Linked DNA regions of Arabidopsis thaliana. The protein of the gene in region 2 interacts with the protein of the main gene of each other region in a pairwise test. Each region holds a gene or a part of one and is shown on either strand. Other genes may lie near its edges. The genes, in order: ZF3, ARR7 and LSH3.

Region 1 (3,311 bases), on a different chromosome or scaffold from region 2:
AAAAAAATTCACGATTCGCTTAAACTAATTAAACTGTAGACATGTAGATATTATCGTTAATGTCCGAGTGTCGGATCACATAGCGAGTCCAAAAAAAGTGAATTCACAACCCAACATTTTTACTAACTAATTTTTTAAAAAAATATTCTAACTACAAATCGAATCTAATTAACCCAATAAGAATTGAATACGTAATTAAAGATGATGATAAACAATATAGACGAGCTACTTTTTAGTCTAAACAACAATTTACTCGTGACTAGAATATGTATCTGCATGCTAATGTGGTCGTTGTCTAATTAGCTTGATTCAAATTCCTATAATACATATTGTTAAAAGATAATGAACAAAGTAATAGTAGAAGACCAAAGGACGGCACGGAATAATTTGAGATTCCGACAAGATCAGATTCACACTCGTTTGCTTGTCTTAAGATCACCCTTACAGAGACAGATAAAATTTAATAAGTCAAAAGTCATTGTCCATAATAAAAACAAAGAAACACAGCTCGGAAATGTATTCTTGTCTCTAAGTTTGAGTTAAGGTACAATGCATTAATCTCACCGATTAGCTATTCATTGGTTGTTAGATCTATTTTTTCAACATCCCGTTACTAGATTAATTATAAAGTTTTTTCTTTCTAAAGATTACACACAAGTTTATACTAGATGTTGTTAAGCTATTGATGATTCAACCATGCATAATCTGTTACCGACGATTCTCCCATTGCAACATAACCCAAAAGGTCCCCCTTCCGCTTGTGAAAGGAAAAACTAAAGGTTTAGAGATATATGCACACATTATATTCGTGAAAGCACATGCATGACCCATATGTTTTTCAAGAGTTTACGAAGGTCATCGTTGCTCAGGCCACCAAACTTTGCTGGTATATCTGCTTCGGTAGCTTGTCTTAAACTCGTTAGTTGCAGCAAGCCTAAGAATCATTACACTTCATTAGGCTTTTCGTTTTTAGGCATCTAACATGATGTGTCTTTTAGATCTCGTAATGTGAGAAAAGAGAGAGAGATAGGTTACTCTTAGAGAATTAGGTTAATTAATTGTTGGAAATTATTTTTTAGTTAGCATAAAGACCTAATTATATAAGTAATTATACAATCTATATTATAACGTAAATAGCTAGTAAAAATGATACAACTTAGATTCTAACCTAAACGTGAAAAAAGCACCCATAATCCTAACTTTAAAAGAAAAGTCCCAAAACCTTATACTAAAGAGAAGACCATTAAACCAAAACTCTTATACCGTATCATGACACAAGTTGTTGAATCCAATTTAGTGTAACTTCAACTCTAGACATTCACGCATTTGAATTAAAACCAATAAAGAAAATTTCATGATTCTTGGTTGCAATGGGCTGTGGGAATTAAGTTATAAGCTCTTTGTTTCTTGTTGTCATGAGTTCTCTACCGAAACATCCAATCATCTTTTATATTCAAGGTTTCCTCATTATAATCTTAATCTACACACATTGCCTCCGTTTTCAAATGTTTGGACCAAGTAATGAATGCTATTGGGTTTGTTCAGAAATTCCCAAAGGTACAACAAACCTACACTTAAATAAATAACTACATATATAAGCAAAGTGTTAAAACATAAATGAAAAGCTAGATGAATATTAATTGTAAAATACGGCCTAAGTTTAGAGACAAGGTTTTTATTAGTTTTAAAGAATCAATCATTATTGTGTGTAGTTGGATTCAAATGTCAACTCTCAACTAGTCAGAAGAAGAGTATATAGCCCGACTTGTGTAACATTTCTCTCCCCCACAAAACGTGCCAAAATTAATATATTCCACTCTCACCAAATGTTGAAATAATATTTTAATTATACATTCACTTTCGTTACAACTTACAACAAACAACTTGCTCAGCACATATTTCGTTTCAACTAAATACTTAAAATAATTAGAATGGCCAATTTGGCCACCCACTCTCACTCTTCTTTCTCACGCAACTTCCTCTCTTCTCAAGATTCTTCTCCATACTTCACCTTCTTCTATATATCTCTCTGCTCTCAAATTAGGTTTTAAATTTTCTATAGCAATGGCGCTTGAAGCTCTTAATTCACCAAGATTGGTCGAGGATCCCTTAAGATTCAATGGCGTTGAGCAGTGGACCAAATGTAAGAAACGATCCAAACGTTCGAGATCTGATCTTCATCATAACCACCGTCTCACTGAGGAAGAGTATCTAGCTTTCTGTCTCATGCTTCTTGCTCGGGATGGCGGCGATCTTGACTCTGTGACGGTTGCGGAGAAGCCGAGTTATAAGTGTGGCGTTTGTTACAAGACGTTTTCGTCTTACCAAGCTCTCGGCGGTCATAAAGCGAGCCACCGGAGCTTATACGGTGGTGGAGAGAATGATAAATCGACACCATCCACCGCCGTGAAATCTCACGTTTGTTCGGTTTGCGGGAAATCTTTCGCCACCGGTCAAGCTCTCGGCGGCCACAAGCGGTGCCACTACGATGGTGGCGTTTCGAACTCGGAAGGTGTGGGGTCTACTAGCCACGTCAGCAGTAGTAGCCACCGTGGATTTGACCTTAATATTATACCGGTGCAGGGATTTTCGCCGGACGACGAAGTGATGAGTCCGATGGCGACTAAGAAGCCTCGCCTGAAGTAAGTCTTTGTTGAAGACCTGGAAGTTTATCAAATGTAAATATCAAATTTCAATTTCAAGGAACAGTTTTGTTGATTCTATTACCAATACACAATACGATTCAATTCCTTTGTTTCTGAAGTAACAGCATACTAAATTCATTAGAAAACCGAATCGAAAATATTTACAACTGACTTTTGTTTGGTTGTTAAACTATCAAGTGAATTTGGCCTCTCTATTTGAATTAGATGATCTCCTTACATTCTCATAACTCCAAAATTGCCGATAATGAGTAGCTTTCTTACTTACACTCTGTTTTGTTAACTTTGCCACCTTACTATTGTAGCTGTGTAACCTGTGTCCTCAAACTGCATTCTGTTACCTGCATAGTTTAGAGATTAATCCCCAACACTGTAGGTATAGTGCAGACAAATCTATAATGAATTTGAGATATTGTACCTGCAGAGCTGAGATTGTGTTTAGAAGGTCCCGGCACACGTCGAGCATCCCTTCGTCCTTGGCATTCACACGGCCAAGTTCTGCTGCCAAGCTACTTATTTTCCCAACCTGGGATATTGGCTTTCACTTTGAAGATACAATATGAATAAAACGCAATAGAAGATTGTGCCATAAACATTATCCGAGAGAAAAGAAGAGTCACCTTTGGCAGCAACAAGCATATGGAAGAT
Region 2 (3,760 bases):
TTCCGGGAGAAGAGCATCCTAAGCTTGAGTTGCAAGCATTGAAGAATTTACATGAGGTGTAAGTCAGTGTGAACCTAACATTTGATTCTTTTCTCTTTTTTGTTTTGTTTTGTTTAAGCAACATCATGAGTAGTGTGATGACTCTCTCAAACATTGTCTTTCTTGAGGAATATTAACAGAATGGTTTTGCTAAGGTCTTGGCCTCTATACATATAATTCAAAGTAGAGAAAAAAGGTTTTCAGATTCTGATTTCATTCGTTTTGAACATGAAGAGTCCTTGATAGAAGTATCATCATGACTTGATGATGATGTATCACTGTCTTCTTGAAGCTTTCTCTTGTTAGAATGGCTTAAGATTTTGCATTCCTCAGCTTCATTCCTCATTATAAGTTGTTTGATTCGCTTTACATCTGCTAGCTTCACCGGTTTCAACAAGAATTCCTCTGCTCCTTCTTTGAGACATCTAAAAACAAGAAGAAGAAGTCGATAAGTTTAGATCACAGTGTAGACACAAATATGATCCCATCTGTATCACTACACATTACACAATCAGTACTTACTCTTGTATACGAGGTAAGATGTTCTCAGATGACATAATCACTACTGGTACTTCTCTGAATGCTGAAGATTCCTGCACATATCAATGGAGTTTTGTATAAGCAGCATTAAAAAAGCTTTGTTTAAGTCTTTCTCAGATTGGTAAATCCATTATTATTGTTATTACCTTAATCTTTTTAAGGAGATCATATCCTGAAAGTCCTGGCATTGAGTAATCCGTCACTATCAAATTCACCTTCAAATCCTGTTATGATGAAAATCACAAACAAAATCAAATCTTAATACCAAAACACATAAATCACTAACTAGACTAGTTCATTTCTAAATCTCATTTGATCATAAAGACAAGAAGAAGCAATAGCCAAAGCCAAAGTTGCAAAGGTTTCACTCCTTCGGTCTTTCCTAAATATACAAGAGTTCTTCTCAGTAGATAGCAAAAGAGGGAAGATTTATTCTTAATTACCTTAAGATTAGAAGCCCCTTTGCCTCCATCTAAGCCAAGATACTGCAAAGCCCTAGTTCCACTCTCTACAGTCGTCACTGAAATAACAAAAAAAAAAAGACACTTGTAACTAAAAAACAGAGGAGAGTTTGTTAATGAAGAAGAAAAACAGAGGAGAGTTAAAACCAACAAAAACAGAGCAGAAAAAGATTGGTTTTGAGTTTTTACCTTTACAAGAAGAGATTCTAAGCAACCTCTCGATGACTTTACGATCCACAATACTATCATCGACGGCAAGAACATGCAACTCCGGAGTAGTAACAGTCAAATCTCCACCGGCGGGAATCTCCATCCTCATGACCTCACCAACCGCCATTGTCAAACTCAGAATAAAAAAGAGAGCAGATTGGTTCCAAGAAGAGGAAAGCTTTGGATTGAAGACAAAGGAAATGAATGTGATAAAATGAAAGAAGAAGAAGTTAGGTTAGGTGACATAAATAAGAAGGGAGAGGTGGTGGGGTTTAATAAGTACTAGTATAGTAGATAGAGAGAGATTTGGAAGATCGGATCTTGCGGGGTAAGATCTTTGAAGAGGAAACAAAATCTTAAAAATGGGTCAAGTGTTGATGTTATGTGTTTGGGAAGTGTCAGAAAACACAAATAATCAAATGTGTCTTCAAAGGTCAAAATCTTTGGGCACCGAATCTTTTTTAAGATTTCAAAGATCTTTGTTTGGTCTGTTTCTTTCAATCCGACAGCGACTACTCCCTCGTGACCTGGAACTTTCCTTCTGCTTTTAGTAATTTTATTTTAGTTTTACCTCTCTCTCTCTTCTTTTTTCTTTTTCTTTGCCAAGTCGGCTACTACTTTGCATTTTACTTACATATCAATCAATGATCTAAAACCGGTGGTTATTGCTCAATTAATCTACTTCTATATTCATTTTAACTTCAACATTGTATTTTGTATTTTCCTATACACGTGATTCGTTTATACTCTACTAAATTTTATTTATGTGTAATGGTATGATGGTGATACTAATACAATTTAATCCTCTTGTTGTCTTTTTTTTTTTCTTTTTTAATTTGGGTAAGAAGTATTTTACAAGGTTATCTTAATTTAATTTTCTTTACGTCAGTAAGGGTTATTATTTTATTTAAAGACAAAAGGGACATTTTTTATTTTTTATTGTCATCGTTTTCAGTTGAGTTTCCTTTATTAAATTGATTGAATTTTGTATGCAATAAAGGCACTCTGTTTAGTGGACCATTGTGTGTGATTTGTGAGTCTCTTTTGCTTTTGGACAAAATCTTGAGAGAAAAATATGGACAAAGTATTGCGGGTGGATCCTTTTGTCTCAATCATAACATCTTCTAAACGAATTGCAAGAGGACTAAGGCAATAGTACATGTTATTTGGTTTCAAATCAATTAAAAAACGTATATTATACGATCCCTAAATAAGTGTCAAACATGAAATTCCTAAATTAAATTGGAGAAATAATACCAGGACAACAGCCATATCATATAAGGATCTCTTTGCAGATTTAAAAGGTTTTTTTTTTTATTTTGCAACAAAAGGGAATAGTTTTGTCATCATTTCATTTAAGTTGTTTAGTGATTTTTTTTAGTTGACCATCATTGTGTGATTTTGTGAGTCCTTTTTGGACAAAATCTGGAGAGAGTAAAATCTTCAAAAGTTGTGGAGGAGGATCCTTTATAGTTTGTAACATCTTTTAGCCGATTGTGAGAGGACATTGACAAAAACATTTTGTAAAGAAAACTGGTTTCTTAGCATTAATTTAGAATCTAGCAAACTTTTTGTAACGATTTGATAGATATCTACAAATATCAATGTTGAGATCTACAAGAATCTAGCAAAAACATGATGGTCTTCACACCTAACACTTACGAAAAACATTATTTTGAAAAAAAAAAAAAGAGTCAGTCATTTGAAGAGAAAATTATTACAATGTTGATCCACATGTCTAAACATTTGATGATCGTGCCAAACAAAACATTGGTGATAAGAACATTACTGAAAGGAAAAGGAAAAAACCATCAATATGTTTCACATTTTCTTATTTTCATTGCAATTTATATATGGAACAAACTTGCTTTCAAATGTTTTTTTCCACCTAGATTTTAATGTCTTATGTTTCAAGTTATCAAGATCTTTGCATACATTTTGAATAATAAAATAAACAAATCAAGAGACAGTCATCCATTTGCTCCGTACCTAAGATTTATGAAAAGAAAATCCTAAATCCAATTTAAAAAAACGAACCACAACCACCAAAGTCTTTCATGTATTCAGTTATTTTTTAGAAGTCAATAATTTGATTTTAAACATAAACGAACAGTTCCTGAATAATAGAAACGGACTATTGATGATATAGTCACGATAGCTACAAGAGGAGAAAAAACACTATAGTCATAACAACGCTAAAATATATATAAAAGTGTTCTCCGTTTGTTGGTTTCGTAATAAATAATGCTTCATCATATAGTCACGTACTGATTTGTTTACAAAGTTTGCTTACAATCTCAAGATACGATGACCAAAATACCAAAGATATTACTAGTTATTTTTCAAGACTAATATTATTATCGTATATAAATATACTGTTTTTCTCATAACAACATTATTTTCAGCTCATTGTTAACATGCTTATATGTGACAGTAATATATACACAAATTGATACAATATTTTTGTCAAACTTTAATTTTATGACTTATCACATAGAACAGTATTGATT
Region 3 (3,760 bases), on a different chromosome or scaffold from region 2:
AATTGCATGTACCTCAAATTACATGTAAAATATACGATCAAACATATGCATATTGAAAGAAATTTGCAGATCTTTTATCAAAAAAAATTAAGAGATTCATAGAACACTTAACTATAAATTATAGGTTTTATACAAAAACACAAATAAAACTATTATTGTAGAGCAAATTGGTAAATTTGAATACTCAAAAAATTACGCCGGATCAAGTTTTCGAAAGAAGTTAACGGACAGAACGACATAATTGTCGCTAATGGCTGGATTTTCCTGTTCATAAAGAGATATCTCTAAAGATTTTTAACGCTCTCAAGTCTCAACACATGAAAATTGTGCATGTGCACGCAAAACATTGACGCTCTCAACGTATTGAGAAATGAGAATATACATAGGTGATGGTACTTAATTATTTGAATAATTGTTTTATAACTCCCAACTTCGTTAGGCAAATGTTGAGAGTACACTGGTAACTTAAAAATTCGTTGATATTTACAAAAGCAATGTTACGAAGTTCGAGCTACTGCTAGTACCTAGCTAATTGCAATATGTGTCGTATTCAATGATAAATAGTTGAGGAAAGTTAGTGTTTTATCATAGTTTAGAAATGATGTCGTACATAACTCTATTTAGAGTGTTTATGTAAACGAGGATTGATTTTGTAGTTTAGTATGATCTAGCCAGAATATTTTGTCCTTTTGTGATGAAATTTTGTGGAGCAACACGAAAATGTTAACCTAATGGCAGAGATGTCATTTATATTTTCTATGTACTTAAATGTATAAACTACCAAATTAATATAAACTAATTTTCTTTAACATAACTCGGATTTGAGAACAAAAATTCAATCTCGCAAAAATACCATTCTTTTTAAAAGTTACTGATCAATGGGTTGAGATGAATGTAATACTTGATCAATCGGGCTCTATTCTTCGCAGTGTTAAAACAAAAATAGGTGAATTTACTGAAAGTGAAGACCAGCCTATGGTCTATCTTTCGTCTCGGTTCAATATTTTTTTACCATTTTCAGATGACACGCTCTAAATACGTAGTTTGTTCTTTTGTCGGACAAAATAAAAATATTATAGATAAAGAAGATGTTTTGTATTTTGTACAATGGTCCGAAGAAAAGCCCTTTTCACATATGTCCAAGGGAGAAGAATTGAGGGCTACTTTTGTAAAATATCAATGAACTGTCAATCAGTTCTACAGTATAGATAGAAATATATAATTAAAATATTTTCCCATCTTTTTCAAACTTTTGGGTGCCTTTGTCCACACCTAAATGCCCAACTCCTTCTCTGCTTTTTTCTAGCGACAGAAAATTATTTTATCGTAGAAAAAATAGCGAGAGATGAAGAGTAAGAAGACATCCAAGCTTACAAGTCTTTATCAATAATGAAGCCAAATATATATATATTTTTTAAACGATACGTTCATTTACTTTTTCTAAAACCTACAATCATTTTCTCTCTAATCTACCAATTAAGTGATGAGAGTATGCTAGATAAATATACACACTAAAACGACAATACTATTCCCATATGCTTCTTCAGTTCTAGTTGCTTGAGTATTTAGAATCGAACTATTTACAAGATATTTAAAGGTTTCAGAATTTATAGCGGAAGAAAGGATAACAACTAAACTGAGAAAATTCAAATATGAGTCGTGGACGTAAACGAACTATGTATTTAAAAGAATTGAGAGCCAGAAACCACTAATTTAAATATCTCAATTAAATTGTTAGTAAACCCTACACATAAAAAAGAAAAATTCTTTTATAAGAACATCTAAAATTTTAAAACCTAAACGTAATTTTAATAATATACCTATTACTTCCACTGTAATAGGTATTATAGTTGTGTGTTTAATCGAAAGAAAAAGTTTAATAGTTGTAACGAACGTTTTCGTTTAGTATTATCCCGAAAAGGCTATTTAGTCCCTCCGACATTAATTTCGAAATATTACATTAAAAACACCAAACCCGGTATATGAAATGCAGACAAAACAAACAATGGATACAAAAGAGTAAAGGTATGAAAACTATAGTCCACCTATCTCAAGTAATATAAAAACAAAACAAGGGGAAAAAAGAAACGACAAAGTTTATATCATTTTCTCTAATTATATAATAATATTCTCAATAAATCAATTAATACGCAAAATATATATCTGCACAAAGTAACCTTATTATATCTCCCAACCGCACAAACAAAATTTCAGCTCCTCCATATCCATCAAGAAAGATCAAGAATCAAGAACTAATCAATATCGATCGATCCGTTAAAAAAAAATGGATATGATTCCCCAATTGATGGAAGGCTCTTCAGCTTACGGAGGTGTCACAAACCTCAACATCATCTCAAACAACTCCTCCTCCGTCACCGGAGCCACCGGAGGTGAAGCAACGCAACCACTGTCTTCCTCCTCCTCACCATCGGCGAACTCAAGCCGTTACGAGAACCAGAAGAGGAGAGACTGGAACACGTTCGGACAGTACTTAAGGAACCATCGGCCACCGCTTTCGCTTTCCCGATGCAGTGGAGCTCACGTGCTCGAGTTCCTCCGTTACTTGGACCAGTTCGGTAAGACAAAAGTCCACACGAACATTTGTCACTTCTATGGCCATCCTAATCCTCCGGCACCGTGTCCGTGTCCTCTCCGACAAGCTTGGGGAAGTCTTGACGCTCTTATCGGTCGTCTTCGAGCTGCCTTTGAGGAAAACGGAGGCAAGCCTGAGACGAATCCTTTTGGAGCTCGTGCCGTTAGGCTTTATCTAAGGGAAGTTAGAGATATGCAGAGTAAAGCTAGAGGTGTTAGCTACGAGAAGAAGAAGCGAAAGCGTCCTCTTCCTTCGTCGTCGACTTCTTCTTCCTCCGCCGTAGCTAGCCACCAGCAATTTCAAATGCTACCGGGTACTAGTTCTACTACTCAATTAAAGTTTGAGAAGTAAGTAATTATATAATTAAGAGAAATGGAGTATTTTATGTAATCTGAAATGTGATTTGGTCTCTTTCTTATATGTTGATTTTAATTTTAGGTTATGTGGTTCAGTTTTAGTTACTAGTGTATGCTGGGGGGAGGAAGGTAGGGTTTTCAATTTTATTTATATCTAATAAAAGAGAAATTCACATGTATTAATGTGTACATATTTATATATATGAGTATCTATGTATCATTACTATCATCATCATAGTTATATTGGTCTTCTTTTTTCTAAAACAGAGAGGTCTTAGGTTTACTTTAAATCGATTTATGGAGTATGATGATGATACTAGAAGCTAAAATAGTATTATTGATTTTCTTCTTTTGATGCAAAACAGTGGTCGTTTTCTAAAAGTGACAGTGAACTAACAGTGGTCTTATAGTAGTTGACAGTGATTGCACTAACTATTTTAAATTCATGAAAAATTTCAATGCTCCAAAGTCCAAATTCCCCAAAGATTTACTGCATTCGTTCCCACTCACCAATATTCACATGCATACGTGGCATGCTTCAGTAAATATGCTGTCGTATGTTTTTTCATCTCTAAAATCATTTCTTTTTCATGTTAAAGTAGGTTTCATAGGTTTACTTGTGAGTTGTGAGTGATATGTTCTCTTACAGCATAATTGTAGGGAAAAAAAAACAGTTCCGTAAATTCTCCACTTTATGTTTCTTAGTACTTACTTTTTTACTCAAGAAGAACAATGTGCGTGTCTCGGCTTTTGCATAAACCCTAGATTTTGTAGATCTGATGATTCATGATTGATGTTGTATTTTAATTAT

What was found.
Region 1: the proteins of ARR7 (region 2) and ZF3 interact in a two-hybrid assay, tested with the Arabidopsis thaliana proteins (one large-scale study listed by BioGRID).
Region 3: the proteins of ARR7 (region 2) and LSH3 interact in a two-hybrid assay, tested with the Arabidopsis thaliana proteins (one large-scale study listed by BioGRID).

The regions. Positions count from the first base shown.
Region 1 is NC_003076.8:17,330,385-17,333,695, reverse strand, and holds ZF3 (zinc-finger protein 3), read left to right. Parts: upstream 1-2,049; 5' UTR 2,050-2,064; coding exon 2,065-2,646; 3' UTR 2,647-2,751; downstream 2,752-3,311. Other genes in the region: QWRF9 (QWRF motif protein (DUF566)), read right to left, coding at 2,960-3,004, 3,082-3,189, 3,284-3,311. UniProt on the Arabidopsis thaliana protein: Transcriptional repressor probably involved in abiotic stress responses. Binds DNA in a sequence-specific manner and can repress the transactivation activity of other transcription factors.
Region 2 is NC_003070.9:6,577,702-6,581,461, forward strand, and holds ARR7 (response regulator 7), read right to left. Parts: upstream 1,614-3,760; 5' UTR 1,378-1,613; coding exon 1,230-1,377; intron 1,100-1,229; coding exon 1,023-1,099; intron 804-1,022; coding exon 726-803; intron 633-725; coding exon 562-632; intron 465-561; coding exon 218-464; 3' UTR 132-217; downstream 1-131. UniProt on the Arabidopsis thaliana protein: Functions as a response regulator involved in His-to-Asp phosphorelay signal transduction system. Phosphorylation of the Asp residue in the receiver domain activates the ability of the protein to promote the transcription of target genes.
Region 3 is NC_003071.7:13,275,619-13,279,378, forward strand, and holds the start of LSH3 (LIGHT-DEPENDENT SHORT HYPOCOTYLS-like protein (DUF640)), read left to right. Parts: upstream 1-2,091; 5' UTR 2,092-2,284; coding exon 2,285-2,944; 3' UTR 2,945-3,760.